Alligator mississippiensis: one gene and its partners. The main gene of each other region encodes a partner of the protein of the gene in region 2 in a complex. Links are inferred from orthologs where the notes say so. Each region holds a gene or a part of one and is shown on either strand. Other genes may lie near its edges. The genes, in order: GINS4, CDC45, GINS2 and MCM3.

Region 1 (7,822 bases), on a different chromosome or scaffold from region 2:
CTAGACTTTGGTGAATAGAAATGTAAAAGGTAACTGAGCAGGGGAAAAGGCTACAGTAAAATTTGGCTTAATGTACAAACAACCCGTGTGAATGTTGGCAGCCTCAGAGCAATATCATACACTGAGGCTAAGTGAATGCTCATTAAAAGGCAAGTCAGGATGCAAAACCAGAAATTGTGTGGGATGTTTAGAAATTTAGCAACACTTCTCATCTAACAGCTGATGTGATCAAAGGCTCTGCTAGCTAGGTTTTTGTCATTTGTCAGTTGTCTTCCTTTTCCTGTAGCACGTTTTCTTAACAGCCGTGCTGTGCAGATTGAAATCACCATTTATGAAGACAGAGGTATGAGCAGTGGAAGATAAAACCACGGACCCCAAGGTAAATATTAACTTTGCATTACATGTCAAATCTATAACCGGCTTCTGTGCATTCAGAAGACATAAACTTTCCCCTCCCCTGCCGAGACAGAATGTTTATCCAACCGCTGCATGTAATCATAAGGCTCTTTAAATAAATCTTCTGTGTGGATGAAATCTTTAAATCCCAGCGGAAGATGTAAAAATATCAATACTTGGCAGCGTGCTCCTGAATGGTAATGCACTTCAGATGATGCCAGATTTCACATTGATGAAATCCAGATTTTAATTATGTAAACATGTATAATCTTAAATCTGATTTCTGCTGTACTGTGTCAGAAATCATTATCTCACAGGTTGGATAGACCCACGAATTCTGATTCTGCTCAGGTTTCCCTCCTGTAAGTGAAGCAGCTCAGGACTTTAGGCTTAAGTTTGAACTCAGTCACTTACTGGTTCATCAGCTGTCTTGGGCCCTGGAATGACTCTTGTGCTAATGGCATGCGATGACAGGGGAGCCCATGCAGTCCACAGCGTGCGAGATCCCCAGCAGGTCTCGCAAGCTAAGAGAGTCAAGCTAGGTCAGTACATGGGTGGAAGACATTCAAGAAAAATCCCTTTGCTGTTAGGTGTGGCATGGGTAGCTTAGTCACTGCTGCTTTTCCTTCTGAATCAGTGCTGAGCCAGTGCTGCAGCCCGGAGCTTAGGTCTTCTCCGCTGAAGCTTCCATCTTTAAAGCAGTTTCTAAAATTGAAGCCTAAAGACTTGGGGTGCATTAAGGATCCTCTAATGCTTTCCATAGGAGTCGGGGTACTGGGATTACGCTTCTGGCAGAACCCCAGACTGAGTCATTCTGTTCTCCCTTCCCTTTGTTTCCATTTTGCTTTCAGCCTGATGAAGTATTCACTTCCACTGCTCGGCTACAGCTGCCTTCCACTCTAGAGGTGGCTGAATTCACCTGCCATTTCCCTCTTGCATCTAAAATGAAGTCGTGGCACCTCATATTTGTAAATCTCTTGGGCGCAGGGCACACAATGTGCCAGCAAATAAGCTGCTTTGTGCCTTAGTAGGAACACTGCAAACAAAAACAAAAAAATCAGGTTGTACGCAGCCTGGCATATCAATGAAGGGGAGAAATGCCACAGACCTCCTCTGGGCTTTGCTAGGTGCCTATAGAACTGCCTCTTGGTAATTACTTGGTCATGACTAATCCAGATGTACCGTCTCTCTGACTCAGCCAGGACAAGAGTTTTCTGGACAGAAAGGCCTGAGACTCTTGCTGCTGAACATGTATTGCTGACAAGTTCTGCACTATCAAAATACTGTAACAGTTGATTCCACTTCTGATTAGAACGTCCTATCTGACTTCTCTGGCTGTTAGCAGTCAGGAACTCGATCAAGTTCGTGGCTTATGCTTGCTGCCATTGGAACAAGGTTATGTTTTATCAGTTGCAGCTGCATCTATTTGGCACAACCCTTTTGTCACGACTCATTTAATGGCGATTACTGCAAACTGGAATGTTTTTCCGAGATGATGCGGGTTTTGAGGACACTCACACATGAGCCTGCTCTATCCGTGTTCAAACAACTGTGAACCTTCTCATACTGGAAAAGATTTACATTAGGAACTTCTGGATAGTTTCATGAATTGCAAATATTTTGGTTCAGCACCACTTTGTTTTCAAAGCTGTAGGCAGACCAGGAGCAAGCTCCACACAGAGTGGGGCCTAAGCAGGGGTCTGCCTTCCCAAGTGCAAGCCCTGCACCTGAAGCCTGCAGACTGTCGCAGACAGCCTGTTTACGCTGGCCGGGAAGCTGGTCCGGGTTACATACACAGTTTAGAGAGAGAATCCATAACCGTGGGAGACTAGAGCTCTGCTAGGAAGAGGGTGCATCTCTAGGCTACATGCTAGGCCTGTGCAAAGGCGTCTTGTGTGGTTCTCTGCAGTGCTGGCTCCTAACCTGCTCCAATTCTCTTTGTTTTCCAGCCCCCGGCTCAGCAGTGGACTTGCCGCATCAGAGCGTTCCCCTACCTCCTCTCTAGAGCATCATTCCTCTCTGCTGCCAGACCTGTGGTGCCATCTACTTACCAAGACTAACTTTCTAAACTTCTGGCTGGTCAGCATCCATTTTGTGGCCTGTGGCAAGCTTTAAGCAATGGGATCATCTTGTTCGTTTCCATGGACAAGGAATGGGCAAAGTAAAGCTGTTGCTCTTCAGCAAGTGAACTGGGCAGTTCAGCCCAGTGGGAAGCAGCTGTTTCCCTCCCCACCAGTTAAATCTTCCGACACGTCAGGCTGCAAGTCTGACGTCAGGGAGTCTGTGCCAGAAACAAGGCCCACACTCCAGTGCAGGGCAGAGCAGCCTGCAATACACTCACTGCACACAGTGCCTCTGCCTAGCAGGAAGTGACTCGAGGCACAGAGCAGTCTCAGGTTCCTGAGCTGACGCTCACCGGGAATTTAATGCAGAAAGGTTTTTCTAATGATTTAGTTGTTTTTCCTAACCCCCGATAGCTAGTATTGTTACTGGGTGCTTTGCTGGTGCCCTGGGAATCTACTGCTGTCACTGGAGTTCTCCACACTCGCGGGAAGAGACAGTCTTGCTCGTTCCCTTCAACTGTGTCAGTACAATAAAATGGATGCTGAACCAATACATGTAGCCATCCCTACTCCTCCCCTGAAAGTTAATATGTAAAATGTAATGAACTGTTTTGTTTCTATGGATTTATTATGTATAATTTATAGCAAAATGTTGATTTGATGGATTACTCAATAGTGTGTAAGTTGGTTTCTTAATTCGTGCTGCTGGCAAACTGCTGAAGAGCAGAGCTGTGCAGTATGCCGTATTTCCCATGAATTAACATTCCTCAGCAATACCTGCTACGCTACCTTGGGCATCTTCTGAGTAAAACTTCCACCAAACAAAATTGGCCTAATATTTTCTGTTGTCTCCCTCTCCTGTATAACATGAGATCTTTACTTAGGCTGGGTTAAACTAGCATGGCCCCCCTGGTTGGAGAGCCACTGTCCATTGTGGGACTTGTAGAACAAGACAACTGCTGCAACTAGGTGGAGTGTCGAGTTTTCAGTGATACTGTAGGTGCTAATCCTGGAGTGGAGATTCCAGGCTTCCTGTTCAACCACTTCTTTCTTTTTTTTCCCCCTCCTCTTTGAGATCTGTTTCCTGTTTTAATTGTACAGAAGACTTTTTCTTTGTCTCTCTTAAAATGTAAAAGTGCATTTGCCTTTTGCACCTGTTGCAATAATTTTGCAGAATTATTAATGGATTAGTAAAATTTTCTTATACTGTGTCTGTGTCCTGTTTGGTAGCACTGGCCTGAATAAAAGTACTGATTTCCTCTAAACAAAAGTGATGGCTGGTAACCAACTTTAAGCCATGTGAAAGTGCACACCTTGCTCTGTTTCTGCTACAATGACTGATGCAGTAGGGTTGGGTTTTATGCTCTTTGTTGGAGCTGGGGACGGAGGGGTGTGCTTGTGTGCATCAGCAACAACCCTGATGAAAGACAGGGGAAGCCCTCGCACTGAAGGGGTCCTAAATCTGAGCCAGAGTATTTACAGGCTGGGGCTCTCCATAAGAGCTAATATTTCAGTTTGGAAAGGAGCCATTCATGAAAAGGGGAGGTTCCTCCCCTACACACATCCTAGTGCGCAGTCCCTCCCCAGCAAGGGGAACGCAGAGGAGGAAACAAGACTGGCAGCAATAGCAGTCAACTCCCTGAGTGGGCTGGGAGCTAACAAAATCTCCCATCCAATTGCTCTTTTTTTTTTTTTTTGGATCCTAGAAAGGACTGGAAGGGACCGATAAGACCATCAAGTCCAGTCCCCTGCCATGGGCAGGACGTAATTGGGCTCGAACCAACACAAGGTATTTGTCCAGCCTCCTCTTAAAGACCAGCAGAGCCGGCGACTGACTGCACCACCCCTGCTGGAAGCCTGTTCAGAGGCTAGAGATTTTAAGTGACCCAAGCAAGGTGCAAACACTGACAGCAGGGCAGAGCTGGCCTGGGCCGCGCGCAGCACTGCTGGGAGAGGTGGAGCGCCCCGCCAGGAGGGTGTTTGTGCCCCAGAGCTTGCAAAAAACTCTCCTGCTCGTCAGTAGGTGTAATACAAGAGATTATATCTACCCCCAAAAAACTACCCCCTCCTCCACGTTTCCCTTCCACTGGGCACCCCAAAGGAAAGGGCCCTGCTGCGGCCCCCGGCCCTTGCTCCCTTGGGAAATGCTGGAGAGGACGGCGGGGCCCATGCCGAGGGTGTCTCGGCCCGCCCCACACCCAACGATGCGCACAGGGCAGCCCCTTAAAGCGAGCCACGGACCCGGGCAGCCGATCGCGGTCTGTCCGTGCCCCTGCCCCGTGCCTCTGCCCCTGTGCAGCTGCGTGCATGTGCATGTGCATGTGCACATAGCCGCTCTCCCCCACCCGGCCCCGGTAGTTGAGCGGCAGCGGGAGGCGATGCCCTTTTAAGCGCTGGAGGAAGCCGCGCACGGGCCCGGGGGCGGGGCTCATGCATATGCACAATGCAAGCCCCGCCCCCTTCACGTCACGCTAGACGTCAGCAGCAGTTGGCGGGAGTTCGGTCGCCGGGATGGCGGAGAGCCCGGACTCCCCCGATCCCGCCGGGCACGACTCGGACGGCGGCAGCGAGGAGCTGGTGCTCACCCCGGCCCAGCTCATCCGCAGCCTGGAGCAGGTCGGCGGGGCGGGGCGGGGCGGGGCGGGGCGGGGGGCGGACGGACGCCGAGGTTACCTCCGGGCCGGACGGGAGCGGTGCCAACCCGGGAGCCGGCCCCATGCTCACCCCTGCCCCCCGCCAGGCCTGGCTGAACGAGAAGTTTGCCCCGGAGCTGCTGGAGAGCAAAGCGGAGGTGGTGGAGTGCGTGATGGAGCAGCTGGAGCACATGGTAGGTGGCAGCCTGCAGAAGTCGCCCAGTGCTCCGCTGTTGTGGGCACTGCCTTGCAGGGTCCGCACCACTGCTGGCCCCGGTTCCTTCGTGCAGAGCAGGTGCAAGTGTCCCGCGGGCAGGGAGAATGGCCCACCCGCGCTCCTGGCTGCTGCCTGTGCCACTGGACTTGGGGCCTGCGCTCGGATTCCTCTGCCGGGTCCCTACGCAGGGAGGGACATGGTGCCTCGTACCACGGAGCCATGTGACCTGCCCTTTCCCGCGGTTACGCCTTGTGCTGTGCCCGCAGGAGTCCAACCTGAAGCGAGTCAAGGGCGTGGACCTGAAGGTTGGCATCCACCGCATGGAGATAGAGCGCATCCGCTATGTGCTCAGCAGCTACCTGCGCTGCCGCCTGGGGAAGGTAACACCAGGAGGGCAGGGAGCAGGGGCTCCCGCCTTCCCGGTGCTCTGTGCTGGGGAGAGGCACCCCGAGGCTGGGGGCTCAGTGCTGCTGCGAGCGGGCCTGGGCAGCAATGGGTCCTGTCAGCGGGCTCCAGACTCTGGGCTGGGGGAGCTTTGATGGTGGCAGCTGACGGTCTTCCTCCCCTGGCAGATCGAGAAGTTCTTCCCCCATGTCCTGGAGAAGGAGAAGTCCCGCGCGGACGGGGATCCTTCCATCCTGTCCCCGGAGGAGTTTGCCTTTGCCAAGGAGTGAGTTGGGCAAGGGCAGGCAAGCCCGGCACACACCTCCTCCTCATGGCATGCACCATACCTCTTCCTAGAGCAGCCTTGGCACCCACGAGTCCCCTGGGGCCCACCGAACTGCAGAGAGGCCGCAGCCTGGACAGCTTGCCACTTCCCTCTGGCGTGAGGCAGCGGGAGCCTTGCCTAGGCCCAGGGCTTTGAGCAAAGCCAGTGACCCAGAGGGGTTGGGGAGGCAGTATCACTTCTGCTGCTCAGTGCCCTGTGCCAGGGCAGAGCCCCTGGCAGTGGGAAGGGAGGAGGCTGTGCCCACTGCAGCGGGTACACCGAGGGGGACTGCATCATGGGGCACTGCCCGGTTGGGGCAGCCAGGCTGCTGCTGCTCCTGACCCCGTGGGCACGGCTGGGCCCAGGGATACGTGGTGCTGGCTGCTGGCACCTTGGGCCGGTTGTGCCAGGGGTGGAGGTGCCCATGAGCCACTCGTTGCAGGTACATGGCAAACACGGAGAGCTACCTGAAGAGCGTGGCACTGAAGCACATGCCGCCCAACCTGCAGAAGGTGGATCTCCTCCAGGCTGGTACGGGCGCGTGTTGGTGACCTCAGAGTTTGCCAACACCCAGGGGCCGGGGCTCCGGGGAGATGCTCGTGTCCGAGCACCGCCCTGCTGGTGCGCACTTGGCACGGGGCTGCCACCCCGGCATGTCTCCTGTGCCACGGACGTGCACGAAGGGAACACTGCTAAACCCCCCGCCGGCCTGCCTGGCATCTTGTGGGGGGAAAGCACTGCTCGGAGGGGCCAATAGGGGCGGGCTGGCCCCTCAGCGCCCTGCTTCCCACGCAGTTCCCAAGCCTAACCTGGACTCCTTCGTGTTCCTGCGCGTCCTGGAGCGGCAGGAGAACATCTTGGTGGAGCCTGAGACCGACGAGCCGAGGTGGGGCGGGTCAGGGGCTCGGGGCATCCCAGTAGGCACAGCCAGGCCAGACCCCTGCCACCCCAGCGGGCGCCACCGCCTGCTGCATGCTCCGTGGCTGCGGGCCTCTGACCAGGTGTCCGCCCTGCAGAGAGTACACCATCGACCTGGAGGAGGGCTCCCAGCACTTGATCCGCTACAAGACCATCGCGCCCCTCGTGGCCTCAGGTGCCGTGCAGCTCATCTAGGGCAGCAGCAAGCCCCAGCGCTGGGGGGCCACCCAGGGGCCCTGCAGGGGGCCGAGGGACCTCTGGGCACCATGCCCTCGCCTGCACATCATCATTACTATTATTATCATTATTATTGTTATTATTTTGTTTTGTTTTGCAAACACCAAGTTAGTTTAATAAAAAACGTCACCTCAGCGCTGGCCGAGCTCCGCTTCGTTTTCCCGCCAGCCCCGCGCGCGGCGCCCGCACACACGCACACACTGGGCGCCGCGCGCCACGGCCCGGGGGCGGGGCGCCGCCCGCGCTGCCCATTGGCTGGCGGCCTCGCCCGGCGCGCTGACGCAGCACGTGGCGGGGGCGGGGCCGGGCCCGGCGGCGGCGGCAGGTGAGTGACCCCGGGCCGCTCCCCTCCCCCCGCACGGGGCCGTTGCCCGCGCAGTGGTAGCGCCTGGCTGCTTCCCCCCCCCCCAGCACCCCGGCTATGGTTGCGCCCCCCCCGCTCAGAGGCGATGGCCCGGCCCTGCCGCGCACCCCCGCCCCGAGACGTGGCACAGCCCGACTCCCCCCCCTCCCCCCCCCGGGCGCGCGGGTGGTGCGTCCCGCTGGGGCCCGCACGTGTGTACGCACGGGCATGCACCGCCCCCCCCTCCCGGGGCACGCGCACGTGCACGGCCGCCTCCCTCGCAGCACCTGGGACAGCACCGCCCGC
Region 2 (7,234 bases):
GTACTACTGTACTAGCACTGAAACATTGTTCTGTTCTAGCTTCAATCAGCTACAGAATATGACTTATAATCTTCAGTTGGATAGTGCATTAGAGTTTCTCTAGACAAGTGGTGTACTGTACTAAGGAAAAGATAAGAGCCCTTAGCTAGAAAAAAGAACAAAAATGGTCAAAACACCTGTCTTCTGGGAGAACTAAATAAAGGGAACAAACGCCTCATTTTGTTGAATGACCATCCTTTTTCTGCCTTTCAAATTAACTTTGTGAATTCTCATTGCCCAGTAAAACCGAGCCAGCAAATAAATGGAGTTATTTGTAAGCATAAATGTAAAGGAGGATAAATTACTTCATAAATATAAACATTCACATTATGGTCAAGCAGCTGTTGGAAATTTTACAGTCTGCCTATCATTTGAGCAACATGTAGACAAAAACAAATGACTTCGTATTTATTATCTTTTGCTGGATGTATTGTCTAAAATGTTTTGTTTCAATATGGGATCGCCCGGCATGTCTTGATTTAAACCAGACCTTAAAGAATATGCAAGTCTGTTACTTGACTAAGCATTTATCACAGCCTTATTGTCTGATGTTTTTAACTGCAGAATAAAAATTACTTACTCAATTGATCCAAAGCAGACGGTGGCATAATTACTGCAGAAATTAAACAAAAAAGGTAAAGTAAGATTAGGAACAGCACAGCTATGGAAGACAATATAGTATACAGCCTTATCTTTCCTTTTTGTCAGGCAGCACATCACAGTGGTACTGACTTCAGAAAAGTAATTTTTCAAATTACAAAAGAAGTTAATCTAGACAAACAATATTCACTAGCCCAAAATGTATATTTTATTTTGGAGACACAGGTGAAAGGAGAATATAAAAGTTTTATGGGACTTAATATTAATAAATATGCTTTCCACAAGTAATTTTTTTTTGGTTGGATTCATTCATTCTTCTGAAATGGGGACAACTCAAACATCATGAGACAGGACTGACATGACAGCCTGAAAGTAAAGCGGGTATATCTATTTTCTTTGATCAAACTGAGTGAGCTATCAAGAAAGTAATAGAGGAAAAGATTTTTAAAGCTTATGAAGTTTACATGACACATTATTAGGGATAAGGAAAAACTTTTGTGAAAAAAATAAATAGTAGATCTTTCCCAATTTATCTCTACGTAAATTAGTAACAACCCCAGCATCAGTTAACTTATACTAGTGTTGGAAAACATGATTTTGAGTTATACAGTGCCCTTGTTACTCAAGCCACAAAACCAACACATACACATGTGCTTTTATGCTCGGGGCCTAACACTGTTTCTCCAACCACTTTCTATAAACAATACTAATGAACATTATCATTCACATGTAACCTTCAACAATGTAGTATTCAAAATAAAACATGCACATACTCTTCCCGCCTTTCTCCACATCTGACCTGTCATTAGGTCCTGCAAGCATGGACACTGAGAAGCAACGATATTGAGTTGAGAAACGGTTCTGGAAAACTCGGGGTATTGGATGATCAAACATGTTAAAAGAAAACTAGAGGAAGAAAAAAAAATGACGAATATTAGCAGCCACCATCATACTAAGATTTCCAGCCAGTTGTTCATCAAGCCAAAGCCATTGTGATAAATAATGTGTACTTATTTTTCCTGAGACCTAATATGTTCAAGAAAGGTACACATAAAAATACAACACAAAGATTAGTTACATGCATGTACCAATGAACTTATGAAATAGGATAGTGGAAATTCAGCTATGAATTATTTCCACAATTGCAATTTGACTGTTTTTACAAACTAAAGCAGAACAGACTTCAGTTCCAAGTTAAAAATATACATGCTAGAGATCATTGATTTGTACAGTGCTGTAGCAGTATGCTGTACAGATCTATCAGTGTACAATCAACAAGGAATAAAGTGGCTACAATTTCTTCTACATTATTCATCACAGGACCAGCAGCTTTGCAAATGTACATCAAGTTCATGAAAAGAACACTAATCCTGACCAGCTACATTAAGAAATTGAACATCTGATAAAATGATGAACACTGCATTACGTTTCCAGAGTGCCACACACAACTTAAAAAGGTATTAGAAAACAGATTAAAAGATGGATCAACAAAAATAAAATATGAACAACTTGGAAAAAATAATGCAGATGGTAAAACTTCAGACCTCAAACGAGCGAGTTATGCACATGCTTCAGTTTCCATACACACATTATTCTATTAAATTCAGTGTAGCTACTCAGCTGCATAAAGTTAAGCATGTACTTAAACATTTCCAAGACTGTAGTTTTAATGATTGCTTCCTAAAGACACTAGCAATAATACAGGATAATTACAATAATAATTATATGAAGAGTAATTAATAAAGTTAAGCAAGTAGCAAAAGGCTCATTTTCTGGGACAGTTCAAATAATACTTAGAAAATGAAGTGTAGGGCGCTGTTAGGAAAGACTAGCCATTTTAACCATTTTTCCCCATTCTTCAAGCTCAGACAATGTGGGGTACCAGGTTTAACAGCTTCCCATATCCTGAAAAATTCTTCTCTTTGTTTCTTTTACAAATCAAAATACTAACTGGATACTCAGTGAAAAAGCTGAACAACTTTTACCTCTTTCTGGATTTAATATCAAGTTCTCAGCCACACTTCTAAACTGAAGAAATTAGAAATAACCATTGTAAGTGCTCCACACTAACACTGCTAGGCCCATAGCCTTCAGGCTCAGTTTATGCATCGTCATCTCTCTATGGGAAAACACGCAGACATAAGCCTTAAATGTTGGTGAAAGAATTTCACTCGTTCAGACCCAACCCCGGGCACTGCCCTCCTTTAGCAGAGATGTGGTTAAGCCACATTAGACTGAAGTCAAGCAGAAGGCAGAGCAGATCTGGCACCTTATAAACTAAATTACTGTTGAGAGGCACAAGCCTTTGGGAGCCGGAGCTCACTTCATCAGAGGTTTCATCACATCATCATCTGATAATGATGATGAGCTGAAACTCACCAAAGCTTGTGAAGTAACTCTTTGTGCCCCCCCCCCCCAAGATCTATAGCTAGACAGATAGATATCTATATATCTTTATACACATAGATATATGTTTCTGTGTGTGTGAATATATATATATACACACACACATACATGCACACACATACATATATCTATATTTATATATGTATATCTATATTTATACATATCTATATTTATATACACACATATCAATCTCTCTATATATCTATCTATATTGATTATAATATAATATATATAAACAGTGTGTGTGTGTGTGTGTGTGTGTGTGTGTGTATATCTGGAAATCTCTCACTCTCTAGATGTCTGTATGCTTTATGTATTGAGAGAGCTACAGCTACCTATTTATCTATAGATCTAGATCTATGAGTTAGTCTCTAAGGTGCAAATCTACCCTGCCAGGCACTGTCCCCCACTGTAGGCAGGGTGGTCTCCCCCGGCCCGGCCCGGCCCCTCCCAGGGGAGGCCGGGAAGGAGGCAAGGCCGCGAGCGAGGAGCCTGAGTAGGGCCGCGGGCGCGCGCTCCGGGAGGGGAAGGGGCTCTTTTTGGAGCCTTTTCCCCTTCACCCCTTTCCCCGCCGAGCCGGGGGGGGAGGCTCCGCCGAGCCTCGGCTGCCCCCGAGCGAGAAAGGCTGCGGCCGGGCCGAGGGGCGGCGGCGCCTCCCGCCCAGGATGACTCGGCAGCGCCGCCCCGGCCCGGCCCGGCCCGGCCCCGCGCTCACCATCGTGGCGACCGCGGCTCCGGCTCCTGCGGCTGAGGTGTCCGCGAGTGCCCGGGCAAGTCAGGCTACGCCGAAACGTCACCCGCGGAACTCCTTAGACGCTCGAGCCCCTGCCCGTCCGCACTACACTTCCCACAATGCCGCGCGGCTGGAAAGGCACAAAAAGCCTTCATGTCCGCCATTTTGAGTGAGGGCGGAAGGAAGAACCGCGCCCGACTCGACCTCAACAACGTTTCGCCGATTTTGTTTTTCCCATTTCTGCTCTTACTTGACTGCATATTTTTTGTAATGCCCCGGGCTTTTCTCGGGGGGGTTCTAAGAGGCGGGAACAGTGCCCTGCCCACACTAAAGATGGCGGAAGGGGCAAGGCACGGATAAATAAAATGGCCGCTCTTCCAGTCCCCCGGGTTGTTTTGGTCACGTGATCAGCTTCGCCCACGGCGATTGGCAGAGGCACTAAGGAATCGGCTGCCCGAGCCAATCAGCACTGCGGAGGGCGGGCTTGCGGGGCGGGAGCCGAGGCCAATAGGGACAGACGTGATTTGGCGCCTGGTTTGAGTGCAGCGGGCAGGCGCCGGCAGCGAGACGGACACGGACACGGACACCGGGACCATGTTCCTGTCCGACGTGCGCAGGGAGTTCTATGAGGTCATCACCACCCAGGTGGGATCCGCTGCGGGGCCGCCCCGGGGTCTCTGATTCCCTGAGCGGGCGGCGCGGCGCGGCGCGCTCCCGGCGGCTCCTTCGGGCACGTTACGTTTATGGCGCGATGGATGAAAACCGGCCCCACGCGCGAAGTCCGTGTCACGCCATTACTGCTCCGTGGCGCGATCCCCGCCGCACACGCGGGGTCCTTCTCCCACGCCAGAAATGCCGGTCTGTGTCCGCGGCCGGGTTCGCGGCGGCGCGCTTGGACGTGGTACCGTCCGCGGCAGCTGTTCTCGGTCGTTTTGTGTTATTCAGCATCAGGGTTTTCTAGTTAGGCCCCTGCTGATCTGTAAAAGCGGCGGGGTTGCCTGTTTGCAGGTTATTGCAAGCCAGATCTTTTTTTTTTTTTTTCCAGCATCATGTTATCAAGTCAATGCAAATGTATTATTTTACCCTCGTGTAAAATGCGGGTTGTTTGTGTCCTGTGGTGCGGTGTGCGTTTCCCCTGGCCTGTGCCAAGAGGCTGAATTAAACAGCAAGAGCCAGTAACGTGCAACGTACCATGTGATCTTTGGCCAGTCCCTCTTTCATAATGACTTGTCCCCTGTCCTTATTTTTTACAGCCCTTAGACGGGCTCATGCTCTCATTCCCACTGTTTGCATTCATGCGCTTGTTTGATATCACCTCTACCGCCAGTCCTGATTTGACTTGAAAGATTTTCAGTCTTAGGCGTAGACACTGAAGTTGTTGGAAATGACTGTGGGGCACGCATCGAGTATCACGTATTAATGCTGTTTTCTAATGTTTTGCAGCGTGTTCTTCTTCTCGTTGCTTCAGATGTAGATGCATTATGTGCGTGTAAAATACTCCAAGTAAGTGAATGTTTGTCCTTATTTTATATACTGCTAACAGAAGAAAATGTATGGGAAAGAGTTTAATAAAGAAGTGTGGAAAGGAACGTGAGAGGGAAGTGTTAACTTTAGTTTTAAACATTCAGTGTTTTATTTATGCTTAACCCTTTTTCGTCCTACCAGTTATGATGCTGGGATTTCATGATAATTCCTATTCAAAGTCTTGCATGGGAGTATTTTTCAGAAATATAGTAATTGTTACTAATTTTCTTCATTAGCAAAACATTTCTTGTTTGCTTCTTTTTAGGCATTGTTTCAATGTGACCATGTACAGTACACATTAGTTCCAGTGTCTGGGTGGCAGGAACTTGAAACTGCATTTCTTGAACATAAAGATCAGGTAAAAAAAACAACAAAAAACCTCACCTAATGAGAGATGTGTGTATGTAACATTGCCTCCTACTTATCTGTAATTTGAAGTGTCCTTTTTTTCACCCCCAGTTCACTTCTAGGTTCTTAGGTTGATATTTTTGTGGTTAGCTAAAATAATACTGAATAAAGTTAGGTGGATGATGGACAAATGCTTGGCATATTTCCCATATCCTGTTCTTGTCATGTGCCACAGTCTCACCTAATTTAGCAAACTTTAGCAAAAATTCAGCAAATGCTTCTGCTGTTTCAGTTACAGAATTTCTTTTGAAGTAAAACTTGCAGTTGCCCCAGTCTGTGTGTGGTTTAGATCAAGTTTTGATTTTTATAAACTGAATTTGTATCCATCTTCAACTGAGAAAGTTGTGAGCATTCGTTGTCTGTACAATGAAAACTAAAAGTACATTATCCTTCTATAAAAACGGCCTTTATTTTTTTCCCCTCAGTTTCCTTAACCAAGCTGCCTGAAACATAACTGTGTACAAAGTTAAATACTTTGGAGGTAGAATAGTTCTGATAATTTCTTGGTTTTATTCTCCCATGTAACCTATTAAATTGGAGATGCCTTGTTTTCTTTTGCAGTTCAAGTATTTTGTTCTTATAAACTGTGGTGCCAACATTGACCTACTGGAGGTTCTGCAGCCTGAGGAGGACACCTTTTTCTTTGTTTGTGACTCCCGCAGGCCTATCAATGTAGTGAATGTTTACAATGATATGCAGGTAAATCCAATTGTCTAAGATGATATGCAGTTTAAATTGGCTCACAATATCCAGTAAGTGAGCTATCATTTTTCTATCCCTTGCAACAAAGGTGATTTACCACAGCACAGTAAGTTTACTTCTAGATTGTATTGGTTGGAGACTAAATAATATAACTTTAAATTATGAATGCTGAGAGATTTATACTACAGTGCTAGACAGCTTCCCTTTAACAAATATATTTTTCACTGAAAGTCTACATTCTTCAATGTTATTGGTGCTATAAATATAACCTTGTTGATAAAGGAGAATAAACATTTCAATTTTTATTAATTCATAAGGGCAGAAGGTAGATCTTCTAGCTTGTCACTTGGGTTGATCACCTAATTCATATAAAGCAAAATCTTGGTGTCCTAGTAGGAACAGATCAACTCCAGAGTGAGTAAATTAGTCTTCTGTACTAAGAGGAACAACTAATAGAAATTGCTAGGTTGGTCGAATATAAAGGGGTTTTTAGGTTTGATTTTTTTAAAATGCTTCTTTTCTTCTTAGATTAAGCTGTTGGTTAAACCAGATGATGATCTTAACATTCCTGCCTACGATGACATCTTCAGAGATGAGGAGGAGGAAGAGGAGGATTCTGGGAATGAAAGCGATGGATCAGAACCTTCGGGGAAGCGCAAACGATTTGAAGAGGTATATTTCTTACAGCATTGTTCTGTGCAGGGGAGGGTGGAAATTTATATGTATACCCTGTTCTACAGAAAGTTTGATACTATTGCTTTGGTGTCGTTTGCCTTTGAAACCCAAACAAAGTGGATTGTTACAGAAGGTAAAATAAGCCCT
Region 3 (7,493 bases), about 59 Mb from region 2:
GTGTGGGGCCCTGGGCAGTCACCCGGTTTGCCCTCCCCTGATCACAGAAATGGAGAAACTTGCATCTAGTCCACCCCTGCTCTGAGGCGGGATCAAGGATCCTGATATGCTTGTCCAAACAATTCTCAGAGCCCTAGGGTGGAGGAGATGTCCCGGGGCAGGCTGCTCCAGTGCTTAACAACCCTCTACATTAGAAAGCCCTTCCCAATATCTAACCTAAATCTTCCTCGGTGTAGTTTTAGACAATTTCTTGTCCTAACCCCTGTGACAACCCCTAAAGGAGCCCTGGATAGATGGCAGCCCACTGCGTAACTCTTTGGAGCAAAAAGGCATCACGGGTACCCCAAGGCAGGGGATGTAGAACAGCAGCAGTGTGCCTTTGAGCTGGGGAAAGCCTGCAGGCTGAGGAAGCAGCATTATCAGCAGCCAAGCTGGCTCCTGAATTAAAGGTCAGGATGAATGTGTGACAGAAGGTGCTTATCAGGCACAGACATCTCCAGGCCTACCAGCCTTTGCAGGGCTGCCCCTGCCTACCACCAGTTAACCAGCAGGAACCAGGTTCAGGCTGCAATGGCAGGTTTAAACAGGTTCATGGAGACCCAGGTGGATATGAAGACCTGAACAGCCTCCCTTTCTCCCTTTACACACAGAAGGCTATTTGCACAGGAGGCATGTGAAAGCCGGCTTCAGGGGTGTGGAAGGGAAGTGCAAATCAAGCTGTTGTGGCATTTGAGGCTGGAAATGGACCCGAAACTGAACTTCACCAGTGAACGATGGAGCATTTCAAAGGTAGAGACAGGCTGCTTGCTCTTCCAGCTGTTTCAACCAGCCTGTCTGGCTTTTCTACGTGATGAAGCTGCTGGGCCTGAGAGAGGAGCCCTTCAGAGACTTGTCTGCATTAGGGGTTTTTGTGCTGTCTTTTTCTCTCCCTGCAGAGGGTCGGCCAGGATGCAATGGGTTTAAACTGTAGCAAAGCAGGTTGAGACGAAATTTCAGAGAAAAGTGTCATTACTGTCGGAACATCAGGACAGCGGTGCAAACTGCTGGGGGAGGCTGTAGCATCTCCATCCTTGGAAATTTTCAGGAAGGGGATGGATAAGCATTTAATACGGATGGTTTAGGAAGAGCGCATTGTGCCTCTGTGCTGGGGGCTGGACTGGATGACCCCGGAGGTCCTATTCAATTCGATCAGTCTATTATTTTCCCAGGAGCAGCCACTTTGATGAGCATTTCCAACTGCAGACATCTCTCTTGGTCTATTTCTGGAGGAGCAGAGCAGTTCAGTGCTTTCATTATGGGGTCTAATGAAGGGCAGGGGCTGCTATGAATTCCAATCTTGGTTGCTGCCGTGGAGCGAGCTCGACCTGCTGGCACAAATCTACTGCACTGGTATATAGCAAGGGAGCTGGGAATGCCTTAAGTCCCACTAAAACCTGGTTTTAATAGCCCTCTTCAGCAGAGTGTATTTAGAGCTAGCAGAACCCAGGGCAATGCTTACCCAGCAGATTTCTCGTGTCACGGAGATGACAAGATTTGCTCCTGTAAGACAGCTGTTGTTTTTTTTTTTAAGCTGTCAAGATCAGAGCTGCTCAAAACCTGCGGATCACAGACACTGATGGTTTGCCTGACGCGGCTGCTTTTTGCTTCCGGGGGAATTTGAAGCCCAAGATCTGGAATATAACAGGGGAATTTGCACCTCCCGAGTTATGTTCCAGATTTTGGGCTTCAGACTGAGAAATGTCAAAAACCCAGCTCAGGTGACATGAGGCAGTTCTGGCGCTGAAAGCAGGACTCTTGCACTAGAAATGGTGGCGAGGTGGTAGAAAAACAGCTAGCAAAGGTTTCCAAAACCACATTCATGTCCCGAATTTGTGCTGCCAGCTTCCCCAAATGTAAACACTCACAGTGGTCAGTGTCTCTCCTAAAACTGAGCTCCTGGAGTCATGAGACTGCTCAGTTTCCCTTTGAAACCCATGGGATGTTTTTAACCCTCCTAGTAGTGGATAAAATCTGGACAAATGTGAGGTCTGAAGTCTCAAAAGCTAGAGGGGGAATAACAAGGACTGCAATAAGATATTTGTGAAAAACCTTTTCATTTTCAATTGATGCTCAAGATTTAAAGGGGACCAGGTAAGGATGTTTTCCAAGTGGGTGATCCCACTGACTCCAAGCTAGGCAATAATTGGTGCCTTTGATGTTCACCAGGGATGCAAAGAGGTGAATAGGGGTGGAAATCTAAATTGCCTTCACCCCTCCAGAGGTAGCTACCAGCCCTTCTACTCCTCATGTTATTGCTGTTCTGCCAATATGCAGAGTTGCCCCCCAGAGTCACCCGTCTGGCACTTCTCACAAACACAAAACTCACTTAATTAAAAAAAGAAAGGGTGTGGGATAGGGAAGCCATTTGGGAGCCATAACAGATTAATCAATACAAATCAATCAATAGGAACTATTGGCAGCTGCCGCTGGGAAGACAGCACTTAGATTTGAGGGTTGTTTTTTTTTTATGGACGGGTAAAGTGGAGAGAGAGGAAATCAGATCCAGACATAACAAGGCCTTTGAATGACAGCCGGAAAATAGGATTATTATCATCACCGCAACTTGGGTACTATCATTTTCCTTTTTTATTCATGCAATGCAGAGTGGTTTGAGTCTCAATTCTAGAGGCCCCGATCTGAGCAAGAGAGTGGTTTGGGGCAGGGATGAGATGGCAAGAGGAAAGAAAAGGGCTCCCTGGGAAAGACTTTTTTGGGGGGTGGAGGGGTGACGGGGACTATACGCCGCATTCGGAGCCTTTTTATTTATCCTGTTGCATCGGGGTTGCTGCCCGTGCTGGGACAAGCTGGAGGCAAGGCAAAGAAATAGATGGTGTTTTGAACAGGATCACAAAAACACACCATTAAATAGACCTGTCACTGCTAATATTGTTTGAAGGCTTTCTGTTTCCATGACGACCTGACATCCTAACAGCCTGGCTGACGGCACTCTAAATCACTCCTGGATAAAAGCTTTTATTTTATTCCCCCCCCCCCCGTGCATAACTTTGGACATTAACATCTTCGATGTGTCTTGACGGGTTTTTGTTGCTGTTGTTATGCTTCATCTTAAATCCGTCCCGGTAGCTGAGTGTTTGGGGGTGGCTTGTCTTTTTAATTAACAAGCAACGTCTGGGTCAGAGGTAGAAAAATACCTCTTGCGAACACTTCTGGGCTGTAATGCCTGCACAATGCTCAACAGTGGTTCGGCAGATGGGTTGCTGTTTGTCAAGCTGATCCGTGTCAACGCCTTGTGTCCCCATTTACTCCACACACCTGGCTGTTGTGCCCACCTGTTGCCTATGGGCTTGCACTTGGATGATCAGCTTCGTGCCACGTATTTGGAAGAGGCACAGGCGGCAGGGCCTTGGCCTCTACCAGGGCCGCACACGGGCACGGGCGGACAGAAAGGGGGCCTGAAAACGGTCATTTTAATTATCGTTATTAGCGTTACCTCTGGCGAAGCGGGGTTTGATACTAAAAGTTCGCCCCAGGGCCGCCAGGAGTCTCGGTACGGTGCCTTGACCGCTCGTAATAAATACTACGAATACATTCATGAATTAAAGTCCACCCTCTCTGACCCTAGGCCAGGCCGCTGTGGGAAAAACCAGGGAACAACGTTGCAAAGCTGCGGTTAAACAAACACAAGGCGCGTCTACACGTTCACTAATGCGCAGTAGTTTAGTCCTCGCTTCATGGAGGACAGGCAACCCCCCCCCCCCCCCCCCTTGGTGCTCATCCGCTACAGCGCTCGTTTTAAACGGATACAATTAGCACTCGGCGAGTCTCGTTATAATGCTCAGGTCGTTAAAAACTCTCGCGGTCGCCGTGTCGGATGGTTAAAAAAAATTTGGAGAGTCCCCCCCCACAACCTCCCGCCAGCCGGGGGGGGGGGGGGGGGGGGGGCACCTTTTAGCCACATTTGGGGACACCCTCCAGACAGGATTGGTGTGATATGGCCGTGAGGGCGGAGGCGTGACAGACCCCCCCCCCATAATGAATTGGGCTAACCTAATTAATTGGGTTAATTGCTGGCATGGAGGGGGACTCAAGCCCCCCACCACTCCTCAGGCTGAGGAGATGTGGGGGTGCTTCCCCCCCCGGAGGACTCTCCCCTGAAGTACAAGGTCTATGACACATGGCGGGTGGAGAGGAGGGAAGCACCATGGCAACTCCCGCGCCTTCTCCACACTTCGCCCCGCCCGCGCGCCCAGGGAGAGCGCTGATTGGTCGATGCCTCCTCAGGGAGAGCCGCGATTAGCTGGAAGGCTCCCCGGCCCCGCCCTCAGAAGCCGCGCCTCAGCCAATCCTCGAGCGCAGGAGGGAGCCAACCCGCGGGCACCGCGCGAGACAAGCAGCCAATCGGGGGCGCTTTGGGGTTGGAGTCCAAGGGAGGGGGCGGGGCTTCCCGCGCGGCCAGCCAATAGGAGGGGCTCCCCGGGCGGTTCCGGTTCCGGTACCGGTTCCGCCCGCCCGGCGCCGGGAATGGACCCGGCCGAGGCCGAGTTCCTGGCCGAGAAGGAGCTGGTCACCGTCGTGCCCAACTTCAGCCTGGACCGCATCTACCTCATCGGGGTGCGCCGGGCCCGGGCTTGTGGGAGGGGCCAGACGGGGCGCCAGAAGAGAGGGGGCGGGGAAGTGTGGGCGGGGCCAGGGGAGGGACAGGGCAGATTATGGGGGCGGGGCCAAACTCGCGGGAGGGACCAGAAGAGAGGGGGCGGGGCCAGTCTTGGGGGAGGAAAAGGGGCGGAGTCAGAGGGCGGGGTGGATTAGGGGCGGGGCCAGAGGGAGGCATTTTGGGGGCGGGCCTTGTGAGAGGGGCCAGAGGGGAGGGGTTGAGACAATGAGGGACAGAGGAGGTGGGAGAGGTCAGCTGGGAGGGCGTGGCCAGAGGGGTGGGCGTGGCCAGCAGGGATATTGAGGGGTCCCCCCCCTCCCAGGGGTGCCCTAGCAGGGCCTGGCCCCAAGCAGCCCCTGACCCTGTGGCTCTTGCAGGGAGATCTGGGTCCCTTTAACCCAGGGCTGCCCGTGGAGGTGCCGCTCTGGCTGGCCATTAACCTGAAGCAGAGGCAGAAGTGTCGCCTGATCCCTCCCGCATGGATGGACGTGGGTAAGGAGACCGCCCGCTCCGAGCTGGGAGCTGGTCCGTGGGGACGTCCTGCAACGCTCCTTCCCCTCCTTTAATGGGGAAATCCCTGGAGCGAGTGAAGGGGGCGCAGGGCCAGCCCCATCCTCGCTCCCTGTGCCTTGCTTTGGGAAGATGGGGATGCCACCTGCTTTCCTGAGCACCATCGCTGGCGTGTCGCGGGCTCGGGCGTTAATTGCTCCGTCACCTCCCTGTAGCACCTTCCCCGCGGGCTGCGTCCCGAGGGAAGGGTGCCTGTGGAGCGCGGAGGCGCTCTCATTTACTCGGGATCGTGCGATCCCGCGGGGCATCGGGAATAGAAGCAGCCCTGACACCACGCAGCAATGTTGCTGGGTGGAATAAGGGCCTGAGCTCCCTCCGGTTCAGCCAGCGTGCGGCTGAGAGCAGGGACAGGGACGGTGCCTCGGTGCTGCTCCTCTCGCTGTCCGACCTCCCTCTGCGCTCCCGAGGGCACAGAATTGATGAGCCAAGATCAACTTGGCAGAAAGGTCCCCTTGAGGCCTTCTCCCAGCATGCGGAGCTGACTGCCAGTGCCTCTTGCCCTCGTTTTGGGTTGAAGGGAGTTACTTTCTGCCTGATGAGCTAGGGCTCCCATGGTAAAGCTGCCAAGGGTACCAGGACAGTCTCCCCTCTTGCAGGAGCCGTCTCCACCTGGTCCAAGGGGGCTGCTTCTGCTGGGAGGAGATAAATCCAGAGCTGTGGAGCATCTGGCAAAAGCCTGACTGTCCCCAAATGTGTTTCAGAAAAGCTGGAGGCCATCCGGGATCAGGAGCGCAAGGAGGACACCTTTACCCCGATGCCCAGTCCCTACTACATGGAGCTCACCAAGCTGCTCTTAAACCAGTAAGTCGCTTCCTTGTGGCCAGGTGGAAGTACTTTCTTCCCTGGGGAAATACCCAGGAATATGATGCTGAAAAACTAGTGAGGTTATAGGGGATGGAGTTGCAGACCCACAGGGAAGCGTCCTACGCAGAGCACGTCAGGGTTTTGCTAGAGCACTCGGTTTATCGCAGCCGTTGGATCTGTTCACCCGGTGTCACTGGTTACGAAGTCTGATCAGGGCTCCCGTGCTCTGTCGAGGGGCGGCTGAGTGTACTGACCTTGGGCGGAGAGGCCACACGCTCTGGCTTTGTGCAGACCCTCGATTGCTGCCGGAGGCCCAGCAGCCTAATCCTTCCCAGTCTGCTGCCTTCGTGCTGTCCTTTCCTAGCCCGGTACACGCAGGTCAGGGATATCCCATGCAGGACTCGCGTCCCCTGAAACATTTCCATTGCACACAGTCTGCTGGCCAGTAATTTACTGAGCACAGACTCTTCTCTCCTCAAGCCCCTGCTCACGGTCACTTGAAGCACTAATTGCTTCCTCCTGAGATCTCAGCAGATCCCATCATTGCATTACAATAACCTGTGGCTGTGTTCGTGTGAGCTGCTTGGATCTCTGGAGGTCTGTGGGGCTGTGCCAATGGGTCCAGCTCACTTGGTCCCAAAAGCTGTGGGGTCGGTAATGAGAGCACAGTGCCGACCTCTAGCTCTCATCACAGCCAAGCCATTTAAATTGGCTGTTTCTGTGTGGCTTTGGCCAGGTTATTGTACCTCCTTGGCCTCAGACCAGCTGGGCTCTCACAGAGCAGAAGGACTATGCTGCCAACCAGATGCTGCTGCAGAGTTCAGATTTCCTGGGTAAATAAACGATCCTGAAAAAGCCCCGGCAGCAGCAGCACCAGCTTGGCTTTTAGTGCTGAGTTCCTTTTTTTTTTCATAAAGCAAACTGCTCTGCTTATGCCTCCGAGGTTTGAGAAGCTGCCAACATGACTTATGCCAGTGACTTAATGTATTAGTCCCTTGCAGCCTGTTCTGATCCGCGCTCTCCTCCTCCTCCAGCGCCTCAGACAACATCCCAAGAGCAGATGAAATCCGAACGCTGGTGAAGGATACCTGGGACACGCGCATCGCAAAGCTGCGGCTGTCTGCGGACAGCTTCGTCAGGCAGCAGGAAGCCCATGCCAAGGTACGGGGTGGACCGATAGGCTTGCTAGTCCCTTCCACGGGTGGCCAAGGTGCACTGTGATTGTGCAGGTCTTTGGCCGATCAGAGCCACAGACAGACGTGCCAGGAGTGGCTCTTTCTCCCGCTGCAATAGGAGCATCTGTCAGTCAAGAACTAAAGCCATATGCTTAAGCTTCCGTTTACGGCCAGGCTGCAGCTCCGTTTGCATGATGACAGCGGCACCGTTGTCACGTTCCTCTCTGCTGGGCCTGCCCCTTGGGATGCAGCCAGAGGGCATATGCACCTCTTCATTGTTCAAGCGGCTG
Region 4 (7,348 bases), on a different chromosome or scaffold from region 2:
TTAACCCTACCTCTTGTTACCTGGAGGCCTGGAGCCATAGTTTCTTTTGACTTCTCAGGATCTCCGCCACCCTGCCCACGTGTATGCCCACTGGGGTGGGGAAGGGTTTGCTCTTCCTATCCTAACAAAAATGCAAGCACGAGGGATTTACAGTTCCACACCGCTGTGCTGGGGATAGCCAGGCTGCAAGCTCAAAGCAGAAGCCACCAGCCACTAGAGGTAAATGAGACTCGCTGGGCATGCTTTTACGTGCACCTAAACTTAATGCACATTTGCTTAATGTGCATTAAGGTGATTTAGGTGTGCGTCTACACATGCACACACACTAATGTGCATTAATGCAGTGTGTGGACCAATTTGAGATTAAATTTAGTCCAGAATCAGTCGACATACACAGTGTTAATGCACCTTAATGCTGTATATGCCATGTGCACATTGCTGTGTATGTCACACGCGTGTGTCAATGCTCTGTCTACACGTGCATGAATCTGCTTTCACTTTTGCAGGTATCAAATGTAGGCGTGAATAGCTTAAAATTGCCATTTTTAAGGTGGATTAAGGGCACACACGTGTAGACCCATGCCCTTAATGAACCCTAAAAATTTCTAACGTGCCTTAAATTGCCACATGTAGATGCGCCCGCTGTTAGCAATACAGGACTTAGGGTACATAATAGAGCCATTTCAGTGCCAACCAGCAGAGGACAGTTGTACTAAATCAGGATGCACAGCCTTCCCTTCTCTCATGCTCTCTTTGCACAGACAATAATAAAAACTGCACACAAGGGGAAAAGCAGTATATAGCAAAGCCCAGGTCAAGCCTACACAAGCCTACATCTAGCACAGCAACTATTGCTACAGTACCAAGCCTATATGGCAAAGCCCAGGTCAAGCCATGGCTTGTGTACTGCATGTGTGGGTTTAGGGGCCATACTGTAACCCCACAGATGCACCGTGAAGTGGCTTCTAATACAGTGGACTGCCTGCTGACTCCCTGCTTCATCGGACGCTCCTATGTTTTTTGGCTGATAATGAAGGCTCGATCCATTCATTCTCACGTGTATCAGGCCACAATGTATTATCTGTTGCAAAGAGAGGAACAGCACTGGCAGTTAATGTCAGGGTCAGATAATGTTTCTAAACTGTCCCAAATGTCCTCTTGCAACTAAATCCTCCAGCCAAATAACAAGCATCTCATTGTCTTGTCTGCTCATGTGTCGTCCTAACAAATGCCTGTCCTTTGCTTTTACAGCACCCATCAATTCGTTCCAGGTTTTGCGATTTTTCTGTACACACACACACACACACACACACACACACACACACACACACACACACACACACACACACACACACACACACACACTTCAACTTATTCCTGTGTGTTTGGTCTCCTGCACAGACCCCATTTGGCACTTCTTGGTTTCTCAGCTATAAAATTGTATGGCTCGGTCTGCTGTTATTGCTATCAGTGGTAAACTCATAGGAGCATCTGTGGAAGCATTAGTCTTTCTATTGTTGCTGCTACTGTTCTACCGTGTGGGTATCCAGGACCCTAGGTGTGCATGGGACTTGCCAGAGATAAGGACTTGGGGTCAGCTCCTTAGGGGAACCAGAGCTTTCTATCCCCTCTGATCCTGCAGGCTGCTCAGAGCAAGATGAGGTGTCCACCCAAGGCAAGGTAGCCTCATATAGATGCTCTTACTTGAATTGGCTGGAATAGCCTTCTGTGGCTTTCCACTCAGCCTGGTCAACGCGTTATGCCTACACACTTTAAATATGTCCTCTCCGCGATCAGGACCAGGAGCAAGTGTATAGTCACCGGTGCTGGGATCATGTCACCTGGGAGATTTCCTTATATAAAGAAATCTGCAGCAAGCTCATTACAGCAGCTTTCTGTCTGCTGCATCAACAGAAGTGCCAGAGGCAGAGACCAGAATCTACTCAATGGTCCTGATTCAGTATATTTTGATGGTACTGGTTCTCCGCCATCAGACGGTTGGTAGGAATACTTGCACTGTTTCTATTCTGATTCAGGGACATTTTCTTTTGACCAAGCCTGTGCACACATTTACAATACTGCAGCATGCAACATATGGAGAACCAGGTTCAGATGCACTGTCCCAGTCATCTTCCACCCTGGGTCAGCTCCGGCCCTAGGCTGGAGGCACCATAGAGGATCAAGGAGGGAAGATGCACTGACATCGTGAATTCACTTGTGTTACATGTTACTTTTACAGCCCATTAGTCTCGAATTGCAAAGATCAGCTTGGGAGTCTAAGACCCCAGGCCTGCTTCTCCTTCCAGTAACATGAGTGCAGCCCCATTGAAGTTACTGCTAGGAAGAGGAGAATGAATCCCGTCCTAAGAGAGATCAGGGAAAGGGACGGGGTTGAGGAGGGATGAAAGGGGAAAGAGGGTGAAGGAGGCTTCAGAGCATAGACTCAGAGAAAATGAGGGTTGAAGGGACCTCAGGATGTCACATCGTCCAACTCCCTGCTCCAAGCAGGACCAGCCCCAAGTAGATCATCCCAGCCAAGGCTTTGTCTATCCAGGTCTTAAACACCTCCAAGAATGGAGAATCCACAGTCTCTCTGGGTAACTTGTTCCTAGTGAGAGAGTTTTTCCTAATATCTGACCTAAACCTCTCTTGCTGCAACTTGAGCCCATTGCATTTGTTCTGCCATCTGCTACCACTGAGGACAGTCCAGCTCCATCCTCTTTGTAACCCTCCTTGTGTAGGGCAGAAAGTTTCCAGCTATACAGAGCAGCAAGAGAGGAAGCAAGATGGACATGAAGCGCAGGCTGCAGAATTGATGTAACTCAGCATCTGAATATAGGTACTTGGCAAGAAGTTCTCCATTTACTCCAGTTTTACACTGGTCAAGCTCCACTACTTCGTTTAAACCAAGGGAAGAGAAGAGAAGCTGAGATAAAGAGGAGGGGAAGGAGGGGCAGGAGCATGGAAACCTTGGAAAACGAAAAGCAGGACATTCAATCCAATGTGGAACGAAAGGCAGCAGCGGTTAGAGGAACAAAGGAGTGGCATGAATACCCTCCAGGATTCAGGGTGACACCGGCTGTGAAGCAGATCTCAGCAGTCTCCAGGCAGACCTGATGCTGATATGTAACCTGGCAAAGAAACCAGATACCTTTGTGGTGCCCACTCATTTGTTCAGGCAGGCAACCCACGTGCTCACTGCTTTGAAGGGGATCTGCTCCCTCTAGCGGGATGAAATGTGAACGAGACCTCTGACGGACTGTGTTACACAGCCGATAATATCCTGCATGGATGTTTATTCATGCCATCCTCATCACCGCTGCTTCCTTTTATAAAAGCCTAGACTTCCCAGTCCAGCACCAGAGATCTGTTGTGCTAGGAGAGATGCACGTCCACTGAAAACAATCCTTCCTTCCTTCCTAAGGGCAATTACAATAAATAAAACAAAATGCAACAAATGCATCCGGGTGTTTTTAAGCCATCATTCAGAGGCATCGGTGTTGACTGCAGCCAGTGCTGGGGAGGTTGACTGGGTTGTGCCAGTGCTCCTGGTGGGACATCAAGCCAGAGGTTCCTGGACGGAGGGTCTGGCCCCTCCGCTCAGGGTCAGATGGATTTGGGGTCAGGCAGGAACTTTACCCCCTGGTCAGATTGGTATGAACTGGGGGGATACTGGTTCCAATCCAGTGCCCGGGTCCAGCATGGCAGCCACTACTTGACCACGCAGAGGGGGGCCTGAGCCCAGCCCTTCAGGGGTGCGAAGGGGGCTTCACATGATGGGGCAGGGATGTGACCCAGCCCCAATCTGGCCCAGGGAGGAGGTTGCATGGCCCAGCTTTTTGGAAGCAGGGGGTGTGGACTGGTTTCAAGCCGGCAGGCAAGGTGTGCAGGGCTTGGGGTTTGGGAATTTGGCAGGAGGAAGTGGTATAGATGACCACCACTCCCCCGCTGCCAAATTTGCTGCTCCATGCGGAGCCCCACAAGCCAGATGCTATGCCTCCATGAATCCCTGCCCCAGGACGACCCATCCAGGGCCTGCTTCTCCCAGCATGCACCTTGCCAGGACCACAACTCCCAGCATGCAACACCCCGTCTCTGCGCAGCGTCCATTGAGCTTAATGGAGGATAGGGCGAAGACTACACATCCCACAATGCCCCTCGCTCCATCGTGTGGCCGAACCCTGCCCCAGCGACTTAACGTTCCGCGCGCGCTGATTGGCTGCAGCGCTGGAATGTTGGCTGCCCGGCCGGCTTTCTCTCCCATTGGCCGGTGGCTCCCGGGCTGGCCAATGGGAGCAGGCGGAACTTTGGCGTCTGGCGGGAAAATGTATCGAGTTTTGGCGCCAGGGGGCGGAGCCGGTCGCAGCGCGCGGGAAACGGCAGCATGGCGCTCCCCGCGGCCGGGCTGGAGGATGCGGAGCTGCGGGAGGCGCAGCGGGACTACCTGGATTTCCTGGATGATGAGGTGGGGAGCGTCTTTGCAGGGGTCCGCTTCGTTAATTACCACCTCTAAATTAATTCTTCCAGCCCCCAGCAAGACCTGGGCCCTCCTGATCACCCCCCTCTTGGCCCTGGCGACATTTGTGATCTCTGCCCAGGAAGGAGGCTCCTGTCGGGAGGACCCTGGAGTCTGCGGGGCCCCTTTCCTGTCCCTCCTCTCAGAGCAGAGTTGCACTGGGCAGTGTCCACAGGCTCCTTGGACTCATGACCTTACTCCCATCCCTGTTTTCTCTGTAGTTGACCCCCCCAAATTAATTGGTGGGCACCCAGTATCCCCCCTAATAATGTGGGGGCTAGCCACTGCTCTGGGGGAGTCAAATTCATGTTAACTGTTTGCATGACGTAGGCCTGTATCGCACTGGATGCTGGACGGGAGAGTGAACTGGGTCTGACCGGGGTTTTTGTCCCCCCCCCCCACACTCTTCCTTCCTCACTTGCAGCCTCCAGCATTTCCGGTCCAGGAAGGCCTGAGTCTGAGCCCCCCCACCCCACTAACCCCCCTGCCCAGGTCCCTTTGCTCCAAACGGGGGTCCGGTCCCTTTTTGAATCTGGTAAAACTCATCTCCTACATCTGGGGGCAACAAGTCCACGCTTGAGTTACATACGGGGTGAAAAGTAACTTCCTTTTTGTGGCTGCAAACTTGCTACTTTCATTTTGTGACCCCCCCCCCCCCCCCCCCCAGCTCTTGTATGGTGAGATAGCAAATCCCTATTGACTTTCTCTTCACCATTTAGTATTTTGTAAATCCCCCCCCTCCCCCCCCAAGCATCTCCTTTCTAAACTGAGCCTGGCTTCTTTAGTCTCTCCTCATATGAAAGCCCCTCCATGCCACTCATCAGTCATCCTTGTTGCCCGTTTCTGGGCTGTCTCTAGCTCTTCTATCACCTTTTTATGGTGAGGGTCCCAGAACTGGGCACGGTATTCAAGGTGTGGACACAGCATGGGTTTGTAAAGGGGTATAATAACACTTTTTATTTTGTTTGCAGTTTGTTCGCAATTTCCTTCCAGGCACCTCCTCAGTTGGCTGTCTCTTGTAACCTTTTTTTTTTGCCTGCAGATAGTCATAGATCTGCACTAAACATTTTTCTGTTGCAAAGACCTCAGCCTACAACAAGGCAGAGTGCTTTCAATGTTCTGTATTCCTCTTTGAGATCTCTTAAGTTTTGTATGTCATGAATCATGTTGGCAGATAATGTCAAGGGTGGATCTAGGATTTTGAAAAGGGGGTGCAGGTGGTGGTGTCATCCTGTATAACATCGCACACAATTTTCTCCAGGGAAAAAGAAACTTTATGAATATGCTCAGGGCCCAAGGCTGTATTATTCAGTTTAGCAAGAACAAATGTAACTGCATTGGAAGGAGTTAAAAACAGCCTGCAGGGCTGTGAAAGAAGGGCTCTGTTAGCAGGAGCAGCTCCACAATTGCAGAGCAAAGGGTAGCTTGGTTGGTGGACTATCAAGACCATTAAAAAAGAGGGTCGTTAACACCTGTGGAAGAAGAGTTTAGAAGAAATCAGGTAGAATATAATGAGCCATGAAATCAATTGGGTCCCTCAGCGCTGCTTGACTAGAAATGCTGCTGTCACTACCAGGCAGCTTGTTTTAAACCTTGGCTGGAGCAAGAAGAAAAAGTGGAGGACACTGCACCCCCCCTGGATGTGCCTCTGAACAGTGCTAAGCTTGTGTGGCACCCTTAAAAAAAGCACAAGGCGCACCCCATGGCGCTGCAGCACCGTGGTTGAGAATCATTGATCTAAGCTGAACACAACATTGCACTGCTTTAAGGGAGGAATGACACCAGCACAGTTGCATATAGTTAATCAACTAAGGATTTTGGGGGGTGCATATAGAGTATAGGGGAGGGAGTTGAGCGCGTGTTCATAATCCTGGCCCTTCCTAACCACCAGGGCATTTGGGGATTGGTGGCAGTTTGGGGCTGGCAAAACCACTGCAGGTTTCTGGAATCAAGCACATTGCCGTTTAAGCTGGACCACGCTCTCGCCTTGTGTCTTTTGCAGGAGGATCAGGGTGTTTATCAAGGCAAAGTCCGGGACATGATCAGCGACAACCAGTATCGGCTGATCGTCAGTGTCAACGACCTGCGGAGGAAGAATGAGAAGCGGGCCAGCCGGTACGTGTGGCCTGCAAAAAGGATCGGAGCATCCCTCCAACTGCACAGTGCTGTCCTCTGCATGTTGGGTTTAGAAGTGACATGGGGAAAGGCATCCCAAGTGCTATAGGATCATAGAAAAGGAGGGCTGGGAGGGACCTCAGGAGGTCATTGTGTCCAACTTCCTGCTCGAGGTAGGATCATCCCTATCTGACCCAGTCAAGTGTTTGTCGAACCTCTCCAGCATCCCAACAACTGGAGATATGCAGAGAGGAAGCTGGGAAATCTGTTGGCTCTCCTGGTAGAAAACTTTGCAGACAGGCCAAAGGGTTAAGCTGTTCTCCCTCCCTCTGTCCAAGGCTGTCTTTTCAGTGGCAAAAAAGGGTTGTCTTTGAAGGTGAGGTGCAACACGTGTGCTTCTTGTTTTCTGCACTTGCACTCAACTCATTTCAGGAAGCAGCGGGCCATGGTCGGTGAACTTTCCTGGGTAGCTCCGTCCAGCTCCCTTGTTAACCCCTGACCTCACTTCCCTCCCTGTTTTCTTTATTTGTCCCAAGAAATCAGCTGATGTGCCCATAATGACCTCCCTTTTTAAGGGGAGCTTATACTTTTCCTTGGTTAACTTAGACCCAAGATCTCCTTGGCACATCAGGTATGCCTTTCTTATGTACTTGCATCTCTCAGACAAGGAAGGAGGCTTTAGCCAGGTTGAACTCGCATGGCTGTGGGGCCATCTTC

The links.
Region 1: CDC45 (region 2) and GINS4 share a complex: the UniProt entries of both Homo sapiens proteins name them as parts of the CMG helicase complex. The link is inferred for Alligator mississippiensis from reciprocal best matches to the Homo sapiens genes CDC45 and GINS4.
Region 3: CDC45 (region 2) and GINS2 share a complex: the UniProt entries of both Homo sapiens proteins name them as parts of the CMG helicase complex. The link is inferred for Alligator mississippiensis from reciprocal best matches to the Homo sapiens genes CDC45 and GINS2.
Region 4: CDC45 (region 2) and MCM3 share a complex: the UniProt entries of both Homo sapiens proteins name them as parts of the CMG helicase complex. The link is inferred for Alligator mississippiensis from reciprocal best matches to the Homo sapiens genes CDC45 and MCM3.

Annotation. Positions count from the first base shown.
Region 1 is NC_081830.1:17,399,119-17,406,940, reverse strand, and holds GINS4 (DNA replication complex GINS protein SLD5), read left to right. Parts: upstream 1-4,931; 5' UTR 4,932-4,970; coding exon 4,971-5,075; intron 5,076-5,199; coding exon 5,200-5,286; intron 5,287-5,575; coding exon 5,576-5,689; intron 5,690-5,881; coding exon 5,882-5,979; intron 5,980-6,460; coding exon 6,461-6,549; intron 6,550-6,813; coding exon 6,814-6,904; intron 6,905-7,034; coding exon 7,035-7,131; 3' UTR 7,132-7,307; downstream 7,308-7,822. Other genes in the region: GOLGA7 (golgin subfamily A member 7), read left to right, coding at 316-363. UniProt on the Homo sapiens protein: Required for correct functioning of the GINS complex, a complex that plays an essential role in the initiation of DNA replication, and progression of DNA replication forks.
Region 2 is NC_081833.1:14,712,231-14,719,464, reverse strand, and holds the start of CDC45 (cell division control protein 45 homolog), read left to right. Parts: upstream 1-4,224; 5' UTR 4,225-4,372; coding exon 4,373-4,423; intron 4,424-5,221; coding exon 5,222-5,281; intron 5,282-5,567; coding exon 5,568-5,660; intron 5,661-6,271; coding exon 6,272-6,409; intron 6,410-6,940; coding exon 6,941-7,084; intron 7,085-7,234. Other genes in the region: UFD1 (ubiquitin recognition factor in ER-associated degradation protein 1), read right to left, coding at 620-652, 1,413-1,545, 3,761-3,763. UniProt on the Homo sapiens protein: Required for initiation of chromosomal DNA replication. Core component of CDC45-MCM-GINS (CMG) helicase, the molecular machine that unwinds template DNA during replication, and around which the replisome is built.
Region 3 is NC_081833.1:73,711,566-73,719,058, forward strand, and holds the start of GINS2 (DNA replication complex GINS protein PSF2), read left to right. Parts: upstream 1-4,475; 5' UTR 4,476-4,521; coding exon 4,522-4,611; intron 4,612-5,031; coding exon 5,032-5,146; intron 5,147-5,925; coding exon 5,926-6,025; intron 6,026-7,062; coding exon 7,063-7,189; intron 7,190-7,493. UniProt on the Homo sapiens protein: Required for correct functioning of the GINS complex, a complex that plays an essential role in the initiation of DNA replication, and progression of DNA replication forks.
Region 4 is NC_081824.1:9,001,227-9,008,574, forward strand, and holds the start of MCM3 (DNA replication licensing factor MCM3), read left to right. Parts: upstream 1-4,343; 5' UTR 4,344-4,384; coding exon 4,385-4,465; intron 4,466-6,518; coding exon 6,519-6,631; intron 6,632-7,348. UniProt on the Homo sapiens protein: Acts as a component of the MCM2-7 complex (MCM complex) which is the replicative helicase essential for 'once per cell cycle' DNA replication initiation and elongation in eukaryotic cells.